2 linked regions of the Kluyveromyces lactis genome follow. The protein of the gene in region 1 purifies or fractionates together with the protein of each later gene. This does not show direct contact. Links are inferred from orthologs where the notes say so. Each region holds a gene or a part of one and is shown on either strand. Other genes may lie near its edges.

Region 1 (5,870 bases):
GTTCCAATCCTACCATTTTCCAATCTGGGGAGACGTTACTTTTCAATACCTTATTGTTCTCGGACAACTCGTCCCATGGTTTCCAGCCTGAAGGTAGCTGGTAACCTTCTTGCTTCAACTTCGCACGGTATGTTATGTACGACACATCACCAAGGATATACAGCCACGAAATACCGTATCCTAGTTTAACGACAGCTTGTGGAAAAACCGGTCTAAATGATTCACCAATATCGGAAGTGTACGCGACATATCTATGTGCTGTTAAAGCGATAGTTCTCAATCTGCTCGCATAGGCTGCATAACGGATATTGGAATCTGTAGAGTCCGGGAACTCTTCGTCATTAATTGGATCAGACTTCTGAACCGGTATATCCGTATCAGTTTCTACCATGTCTATTATCTCTGACATTCAACTTGACTGAATAATGCACCCTTGCCTATCGCCAAAGAATCAAAAAAAATATGGATTGAACACTAATAACCCCTGTATATGGGTAACCTAACAAAATAGACCTTCTTCTATATTTATATATCTACTGCTAATATGCTCCTTCAACGCCCGTCTCGAATATTTTGCCATCAACTGGCAATGGCCGAACCCTATTTATTGAGGTCATTGGATCCTAACTTTTCTATTTTCGAGAAAAAAGACGGCTTTAACAGTTTCTATGGTATCTCCTCTTATACAAAGAAGCACAGAATTGAAGAATCCTCGAGCAAAAGAAAGAGCAACTTCGTTATGCTGTGGTGACTGGAAGTAAGAACAGTTTGAAGATAGGAAGCTAAGATGGAAAGTTAAAAATGCATTAATATATGAGGAGAGGTGTAAGTAAAGGCCGTAGCTTCCGGAGGAGTGAAGAACCAGAGCTTTGACCTGAAAGTCTATTATACAGTTGTCGGTTTTCTATTTTGACTATGATATATAGTACCCACAAGATTTCTTACTTACGACACAATAAGTAAGCGTTTTCTTGTTTCAAGTTGTTCAAAAGTCTATAATTTCCCTCAAGTCTCATCAACAAGCCACCAAATGAATAGTATACTGCAAGCAAATCCTTGTTACCCTTAACTTCTTCGAATTTGTAGGCAGTTCCGTACATGACATAGTCATAATCATCTGCAAGAGATCTGGTTCCAGCAGGTGGTGCTCTCCAAGAGGTACCCTGAGGTTCCTCCGATCCGTCAAGTTGGAGAGAAGTTGTGATCATGACTGCAAGTTGATCTTGAGTCTTTATTGGGAACAATTCACTGTTGATATCCAATGTTAACTTACAGGATTCTTGTGAAGTCGATTGAGCTTCAATACGAGAGACCTTGTTGTATCTTCCTGTGTCCACTTCTTGAACGGTGAAAACGTCATCAAATAGTGCCGATGACATGACGTGTGTTGGTAAATGAGAGTACTGTTGTGTTGGTTCTAGTTATTAAAGTCGGTGGGCCAGTAGGAACACAAATGAGAGACGAAAAAGAAGGGAACTTATCGGAGAGTCTGTAGTGGGTATGAAAGGTTTCAAACTAATAATTTCACTGCTGATATGAGACTATCTACAGTGAGCCGAATCGAAAGCGCATCACATGTATATGATTGTCTGTCTCTCAGTTGTTCCTTCAGGCGATGAGTTACAACGAAATTTTTCAAGATTTTTCTTGCCCATGAAAAAAATATGTGTCCGGGTAAAAGAAACAACTTCGGGTAACGCTAATCAATTTGCCATCCCTTAGAAGTCCGAAGAATCCAGGATACAGAGAGACGGTCCGCTCAACTCTGCAACTAGTTGAAACGCTTGTCGGAACAGTCTGGATGATTATAATACAAATGATGAATGAACCTACATGTTAGTTATACACTAGATAACAACTGTTGTAAAAAAAAGGGTAGCCAAAAAAAAAAAAAAATTACGAATCATGGGCAGTTGATAAGGCACGATAAATGGAAGTACCTAATCTTGGAATTTAGCTCTCCTAGATAGCTTTCAGAAACTGTATGATATATTCGGAAAAATATAGTGTTCGATTTAACTTTGTAGTGGAGTTAAAATGCGAGGGAAAATCGTAAGTCAAACCAAAAGAATTAAGGGAAAGACGAGTATGCTAAAGTCCATTCAATGGACAAATGAAAGTTTGAGCCGGAGAAGCAATAAGAAAATTAGAGATTAACTAATTAATTTAACTCTTAACTCTAACACTCTATTTCAACTGTGTTGTAGGTCTCTTAGCCTGGTAATCCTTGATGGCAGCCTTGATGGCATCTTCAGCCAACATAGAACAATGCAATTTAACCGGAGGTAAACTCAATTCTCTGGCGATTTCTGTATTTTTAATCTTTGCTGCATCTTCCAAGGTTTTCCCACGGACCAATTCGGTCATGTATGAAGAAGAAGCGATGGCAGACCCGCACCCGAACGTCTTGAACTTAACGTTTTCTATCACTCCTGTTTCGTCGTTAACTTGGATTTGCAATTTCATCACATCACCACAAGCTGGGGCACCGACAAGACCCGTTCCAACATTTGGCAAATTCTTGTCTAGAGACCCAACATTTCTTGGGTTTGTATAATGATCAATGACCTTTGGATGGTAAAATCTAGCAGAGGCCATGGAAGGACTAGAGCCGACGGTAGGAGCAGTTGCTCTAGCAGCTGCTACACCGATTATTCTAGTTCCGCCTCCACCGCCGTGCATTAGTGCACTTCCCATCCTCTGTACTGCAAACATTTGTCCTCTAAACATTTTTAATTATGTGTATGTGTTTTGAATGTTGATCTGTTATCCTGAACTACTAAACCTTGATTCAATATCTGGATTATTGAAGATCTTCGCTCTTGCTATAAAATTACAGTGATGCATATTATATACACAATAAATGACTCTTATATATATATAATAAAACTCTTAAAAATCCAAAATTCCAGGCGTCGAAGTTTAAATTTCTAATACAAAATATTCCATAAGCGTGGTAAACTGGGAAAAAGTGTAAAAAGAAAAAAACAATGAGAAGGAACAAAGAAGATACGGGGAGAAAAGACAAAGCAGCAGAGGATACAAGCGTTAACAGCGGTTTCGTATTGTCTTATGTAAGAATCTTTATCCAATGCTACAGGGTGGTGTAAGTCTTGATAAGGAGCCGGCGTGTTGCAAGGATATCATTATCATGAACTATTTGCTATAGGAAGAAAGGGAAGAAAGAGCAGTGCAAAACAAGTGACCGAAATACAATTCCAAATCGGATTCGGATTTTAATTGGATTTGAATGATGATGATGGCAGTATGACATATGTTGACATTATGCTGTGCGCTCTTTTCTTCATGCCACCCAGTTTACAAAAGTTTGACTGACTCCTTTCACAATTTTTTTAGTTTTGATGGTTACCCTGGTTTAGTCTCCCGAGTCGTGTGAACAAATTCCGTGGATATTAATTACCACGGTAAGAACGAGCCTTCTCTTCCCTTTGGTCGTCCCGAAACCAGTGCCAGGGAAAAAAATATTGAAAGTTGAAAATTGTGGAAAAGGCGGCGCGGCCGGCGGCCCACACCGGCAACGGACGGAGGTCAAGCGGGGGATAATTACAGAAGGATAGTGGGGGGAGGGACTCTCCCCGCAAGCTGATATGGTGAGGTGTGTGGGTGTTGTATGGGAGACCGTCGAATGCAGTGCTGCGGACGAAGATCTCTTGTTTCCGTTTACTAGTGGTCTTCGGTGATTCATTATTGACATATTTTTTTCGCAGTCGTCGCCAGTTCGAACCCTCATTCGATCCTAACTGCCATCAATTGTTTCTTTTACATATACTACTTATATGTTTGTCTTTTCTGTTTTTATTCGTAATCCTATTTCCCTCCCATGCTTTATTTCGCTCAATTTTAATACATTTTCCAGACATAATACGATGAGCCTTCCATCTATCTTCCTTGTTTCACTCTTCTAAAATACGTCAGTTGATGCATGGATCTCGATCTGCTGCGGCCAATTGTACGGGTGCGTTACTTTTCTTACATTAATAATAATTTCTCTCTCTATGGCGGTTCTGCCCTGCCCACTTTGTAACTATTTTGAGAATCCACTTAGTTTTTCTGAATCTTATATTGTATCTTTACTATTTGGTGATAATTATAATTGTAATATTGAATGTTAAGTATATATTGTATTTATTCTAAGAGCTTAGAATTAAAGCTCACTTTTTTTTTCTTGGAAATGGAACGGTCAACTAGCCCAATATAATACCAGAACTAATCCCGTTACTGCCCAATTTTTTGTTTCTCAACAGACTATATCAGGAGTGTCAGTCTACATGCCGAATTCGTTGGATCTTGACGTCGAAGTGGATTGGTTATATAAGGGGAAGAAGAAGGTCAGAGCGAATAGGAGATTGGACTCCTCTTCAGCTCCACCGGCTACTCCCTCTGCTCCTGCTCCTGCTTCCACTTCTGTTCCTACTCCTGCTCCTGGGTCTGCTGGTGTTGCAGAAGCAACACCAGGGGCTGGCACTGACGGTGCTGGACCAGAGAACTCTGCAAGTTCAGAACCTGCTCAAACTCCAACTCCCGCGGCAAAGACTCGTAATCGGTCAAGCTCACACTCGCAAGCGAGTCTGAGCCAGACTGCAGCTAACTCTCCAAATACGTCTGGTCGCTCTTTGAAACCATCATCTGCTGTCCTTCGGAGGAGCAGCTCGCTGGGCGAAAAACCAAAGAAATCGTTGTTCGGTTCTTTGTTCAATAGGAAACCGCTGCAACCGCTGGAGTCCCATACAAACGTTTCATCCACATCATCTTCGGTTCCAGCTCCGGTGACTTCTTCCTCTTCTGCGTCGGGCCATTCTGCGTCGACAGCATCGTCATCGTCCTCGCCAACGCAGGCTTCGACCACAGCTGCTCCGGCTTCTTCTTCTTCTTCTTCTTCTTCCTCCAGAGGAATACCTATTCCTATCAACATCTCGCAATTTGCGTCTCATAGACAACAAATATCCCAGTTCCTTAAGGAACCAAACTCTCCGGAAGTTAAGGATATGGCGCCAATTCAACACGATCGTGTCGTGTTGAACAAAAATCCAAATAAATCGAAGCATCCACTGCCTATCAAAGAATTGACCGAGATTAATTTGAAAAGAGTTACTTTTGCAGTCGATGAATTTGGTATGGACCCTCCTCAACAAATTCCTTCGAGAAAGCCAAAACTGGGTAACGTTCTTGTTCCAAACGACATGATCAGTGATATCCCTTCTATATCTCAAGGTATTACAACGACAGCCCAACCTTCCTCACATGGGAATGATCAGCATGGTGCTCTACCAGCATCTGCTTACACAAAAGATTCTAAAGAATACCAACTTGCCTTGGAAAATCATAAAAAATGTCTTAAGGAATCGGAGAAACATCAGCAAGAAGCACATTATGCGGCTCAAAGAATTGCCTCCGAAGTTGCCGGTTTCAAATTAAAACCTTCTACTTCGACAGACCTAAAGCCTTCTGCCAATGGTACTGTGCCAAAATCTGGAGCAGCCACCGACGATGAAGCAAATGCTGAAGCGGGGGTTGTGGCAGATGAAAAGATTAAGTCTTTGGAGATTGATAAACCTATACATATGCATGAACATCATTTCAAAGAATCTTCGGGTTCTAGTAATGGAACTGGCTCCGAGCATGGAGCCAATCCATCTTCGACTAGCGGTACACAGGATGAGAATGGCAATGAGTTGATGTTAGATGTTGTCTACACCAGATGCTGCCATTTGCGTGAAATTCTTCCGATTCCTTCTACCTTGAGACAATTAAAGGAGAAAAAGGCACCTTTGCAAACATTAAAGTTTTTGAACCCAAGGCCCACTCTTATTGATATATTGTCCTTCTCTGATTTTATTGCTATTGTCCCT
Region 2 (4,742 bases), on another chromosome or scaffold:
TTCCCCATCATATCTCTGTAATCCAGTGAAAGATTCTCGCTTTGCTTACAAGCTTTAGCTTCTTTTTTTTTTAAATTAGTATTCATATTTCAAAATTTAGACATTTCAGCCATCCTTGTCGGCTCCTTGATAAGAATTAATCGGGGAAGGGACATGAAGCGAGACATAGGGACATGGGTTCGCTGGGTTTCCCCTTTTTTTCCTTTCGTCAGTGGGACATTGGTAAAAGTTGTGAAGCATGGATCGCGTGGTATGTTGGTTGGTCTTTTCGCACGAAATGCGTGTGTTGACAATCGCACTTTAAAGTGCGATTGGTCAACAGCAAGCGCGTGCGCGTGCGCACGCGGGAGGTTCCGAATGTTTTTGATTTTGGGCTTCGCGAAGCCCAAAAACCAATTAATTGATTAAATTAAAAAAAAATAAAAAGTGTTTAACACACAGGGGCTCCGCCGGGAATCGAACCCGGGACCTCCCGCACCCTAAGCGGAAATCATACCTCTAGACCACGAAGCCATTTAGGTCAAATTTTGGGAGTTTGACTGTTCTCTGAAGTGATCAGCACGCAACAGGGCTGGAGAAATACTAGAAACAGTAATCGCGTAGCTCGGATGATTTATAGTGAGTGTCATGAATAATCACGTACCACAACTGATTTAGATAATTGTCGTTTTCTTCCTCACTGTTACTTTGAATATAGCGGAGATTGTTATGGTTTTGCATCATTATGGAACATAAAGAGACTTTAGAAGTGATAAAATGAGAAAAGGAGTTCGAGGATAGAGATAATGCTCTACTAGTCATTCAACCGAAACTTGGCAACCACAATGTTTACAAATCAAACAATATTGTGTGTAGCTTGGTAGTAGAATTTGTTGCTGATTTGTTGCTTAAAGTACACAGGAGGCAAAAAAAAAAAATTAAAAAGAAAATGATTTCGCCCAGGATCGAACTGGGGACGTTCTGCGTGTTAAGCAGATGCCATAACCGACTAGACCACGAAACCACTTTGCTGTAAAATGACGTCTCACACGGCACCATACGAAGCATGTATAGCACGCTGATCTGTATGTTTTCAAAGTTTATGACTATTGTCAAGATGAGATGAGATGCGATGACATGAATAGATGAGTAGTTGAAAACAGGAAGAATTCAAGGTACATCCTACTCAATCTTATCAAATTGATGAAGCTCTACAAAGCAGAATTATATCAATGGTACGACCATTTGGAGAGATAGGAAGTCATAGGAAACACGTATTGGAATGGTACAGATATTCATTACGAAACATTAGGGCCAACGTACCCACTGATAATCTCCAGATTGAGCTTTGGAACACATTGAGACAAGCAGTACGACGTAACAGAAATCATAAAGCTGGCTGGTACGTACGTGGATTATTGGAGGATCTCTCTCATCTGAATAAGTATATTGTCGGCGATGATATAATCAAGCTAGTTGCTCTAAAGAACAAATACACAGAGCAGATCGAGCCTGCTCCAGAACCGTTGCAGCAAGCGAACAAACCAATTTCTGGTGTGGTGGTAACTGAAAATATGGGGGATGAGAGTCGAAGGGAAAAAAAGAAGCGATTAGCACCTATTCCTGGTGATGGTGATTTATACCGCTACCTTCTTAGATATTATAAAATATATGGTCCGACTAAAACGATACCTCGTAAACATATCGACGAGCTACTCAGACCTCTTGCAATCCACGAGAGATACTGTAAAATTTTGTACAGGATTGAGTACCGCATTGCCAAGGGCCCCCCTAAAGTTTCTATTAACTACACCAACGCTGGCCAATCCCGAATTTGGTTCATACGATCTCCATTCAATAGGAAGGCACGCCAGTCTAAGAAATTGACAGGAATCATAATTAAGGCACGGCTTAGAGCTCAAGATAATCTCGATAGATTTAGGGAGTGTGAATCCAAACTTTTCTATGCATTTCAAGAAGCACAATGGGAATATACATTGATTCACAAACAACCATGTTCACGAAAATTCAATGACGTCGTGACACAGATAAAGAGTGGTAAGTCCAATGACATCCCTGCAGTGTTCATCGACTGGATAAAACCAATCCTCGAAGATATGGACATTCTCAACCGGATAAATGCTAATACACAGCGTAAATTCACCGAAAGTAGAGATCACTTAATTGACGGAAAACAATATGAATATTATAAACAACTGAACCAAAGACTTTATAAAAAAAGGCTTGAACGATTCTTGGGCTTGAAAGCAGAGTTACCAACGACAAACCCATTTACCGAAGAGAAAAATTTAGGTGCTTTGCTTGTTAAATGGAGGTTCCTTAGACCAGATCAATTAGTGAAAGTTAAATCGTAAATAAAACTATTTTATGTATGACTATATAATGCAGGATTGTCCATATATTTTGAGTTATAGAGTCAAAATGCTCTACCTCAAATATGTTTGTACTTGTCATCATTCTGTCATTTCATCTATCTCGTCCTAAATCTCCAATGATATTTGGCTCGTTGATCTCTACGATCTTAATATCAGCTAACATGTCACTGATATCCCTTTCCATTTCCTCTCTACTATCATCGTCCGCGAGTTTCAAATCAGTCATACCACGAATCATCTGCTTAACATCAGACTCTCTAGCTAGTACTTCTTCGAGCAATTGTATCTCACTAGGTGGCTCATAATCGTCAAGATGTACACCGACCCTAGCAAACAAAGCCTCGTCTGAGAGCTGAAACTGGTAAAACTGTGAACATCTAAAATGAGCCTTAGTACAGTATTCTGTAAGGTATGCATATGGGTTATTTTGTCTTAAGAAATTGGTCATCTGTACATCTGCGAAGGGATCACGTACTCTCGCCTGGCTTTTGCTACAGAGTGGATATCCACAACGCTTCACCAAGTTCCTTTCTTGGACTAGATCCGCATAATCCTGTTTGGTAAGGAACCTTGAAATGTATTTCATCGTCCTTGCATCTTTCACGTCTTTTGTAATCAATAAGTCTATTAAATTGATACTTATAGTTTCCACTTCCCTTATGGTCAATTGTCGATGGTTTGTATAGGGTTTTAATACAACCTCTTTGATTTCTTCAATGGTAGCCATTGCTATAGTCTAATTATTTTGGTAAATTATTTCACGGTCGTAGTTGGTCAAGCAGCTGTATGAGGTCCCTTATTCATGTGCTTTTCTTAAGTTTACCTTCTTTACTTTGGCACTATCAACCCTTCGATGTGATTTAAGCAAGGACTTTATTTTAATTCAATGTAGATCGAATTCGAGCAGACAACAACAACAGAAGAAAGAAATATCCATGACGAAGTAAGGTCCTTAGCACTAACCGGTCAGTTGTGCCTCAACAAATGAGTTCACAGGATTCTGAAGCCCACCTCAAAAGGCGAAAGGCGAGGTCTAAGGAAAGCAGTTCTGGTGCTGGGAGAAGGGTATCGGTTGAACAAGACGTGAATACGGTGTCATCATCGATAAAGAACTTTATATACCAGGAGATTCTTCCCCAAACAGCCAAGGTATTCGAAGAGGAACCATGTGATCAGAGTGAGAAGTCTGTTGAATATGATCTGGAGCAGATTGCGAACATACTGAGGGTACCATTCCAAGTCGAGCAATTCTTTGTCTTTGCGATATTGACTTGTTTGAACTGCTTCTTGTATTACTTTACCATTATACCACTTAGGGTATTCCATGTATTAGTGGTGAAACGAGATGGTCCTAAAAGAATACGACAAGAGCTTCTTACTACTGCGATGATTCTTGGACCCTGTTCGATATTGAATGTCCTTGACACCTCAAGAATATATCATAAAATTAAGGGCCAAAATGCTATTAAACTATACATGATATTTCAGGTTCTTGAGATGACAGAAAAGCTCTTATCAAGTGTTGGCCTTGATCTATATTCAATTATCATGCTCAAGAAGAGTGCCAAACATAAGACAGAGATGGTAATGCTATATATTGCATGTTGTTTATGTTTAAGTTTCCACGCGTTGATATACATCTACCAGATTCTTGCCATGAACGTTGCGGTAAACTCGTATTCTAACTCCTTATGGACGCTACTGTTGTCAATGCAGTTTTCAGAGTTAAAATCTGCAGTTTTCAAGAGAATTGATAAAGAAGGATTGTTCCAATTGACTATGGCTGACGTCGTGGAAAGATTCCAGTTGATCGTATTTCTAACGGTCATTGCAGTGAGAAACTTTATCGTAGCAAGAAAGAGCTTGCGCGATGTTTTACCACACTCATGGAATGTTCATTCTACACAGTCCTTGATAGTTGGTATATTTATAGGGCCGATTGTCACAGTAATTGGAAGTGAATTGATAGTGGATTGGATCAAGCACGCATATATTATCAAATTCAACAGAATCAGAGCGCATATCTATGAAAGGTATTTGCAAATTCTTTCCAAGGACAACCTATCCAACAGTATCCAATTCCAAAAGAGGTTAGGTTTGCCGTTCCCGCCACTAATAGTAGCCTTCCTAGTACTGGTATGGCCTGCCATCAGGCAAACGATCAAGAATAATATCATCTGGTCCACTGTTCTGATAATATTTGGATTCCTATGGGCTCTACTCACAAAGCTAACACTTCAAGCAATACTGTTGAGATGGACGTTACATATCCAAAACAAACAAGCCAGCTTGCACCCAGATCCTTTGTATATCAATGGCCATCTCTCTGCTGGAAGAGGAATGATGGATGAGGATGCCCGCAAAATG

The links. Proteins that work in one complex are often made in the same cells at the same time.
Region 2: the proteins of RPB8 (region 1) and RTR1 purify together in Saccharomyces cerevisiae (affinity purification with mass spectrometry; 3 studies listed by BioGRID). This does not show direct contact. The link is inferred for Kluyveromyces lactis from reciprocal best matches to the Saccharomyces cerevisiae genes RPB8 and RTR1.

Annotation. Positions count from the first base shown.
Region 1 is NC_006040.1:610,161-616,030, forward strand, and holds RPB8 (DNA-directed RNA polymerase core subunit RPB8), read right to left. Parts: upstream 1,380-5,870; coding exon 942-1,379; downstream 1-941. Other genes in the region: KLLA0_D07117g (mitochondrial fission process 1 family protein), read right to left, coding at 1-409; putative iron-binding protein ISU2, read right to left, coding at 2,188-2,730; HER1 (Her1p), read left to right, coding at 4,290-5,870. UniProt on the Saccharomyces cerevisiae protein: DNA-dependent RNA polymerases catalyze the transcription. of DNA into RNA using the four ribonucleoside triphosphates as substrates.
Region 2 is NC_006042.1:1,172,424-1,177,165, reverse strand, and holds RTR1 (RNA polymerase II subunit B1 CTD phosphatase RTR1), read right to left. Parts: upstream 3,103-4,742; coding exon 2,467-3,102; downstream 1-2,466. Other genes in the region: RRG1 (Rrg1p), read left to right, coding at 1,212-2,354; EMP65 (Emp65p), read left to right, coding at 3,360-4,742. UniProt on the Saccharomyces cerevisiae protein: RNA polymerase II subunit B1 C-terminal domain (CTD) phosphatase that dephosphorylates 'Ser-5' of the CTD and regulates RNA polymerase II during the transition from 'Ser-5' to 'Ser-2' phosphorylation.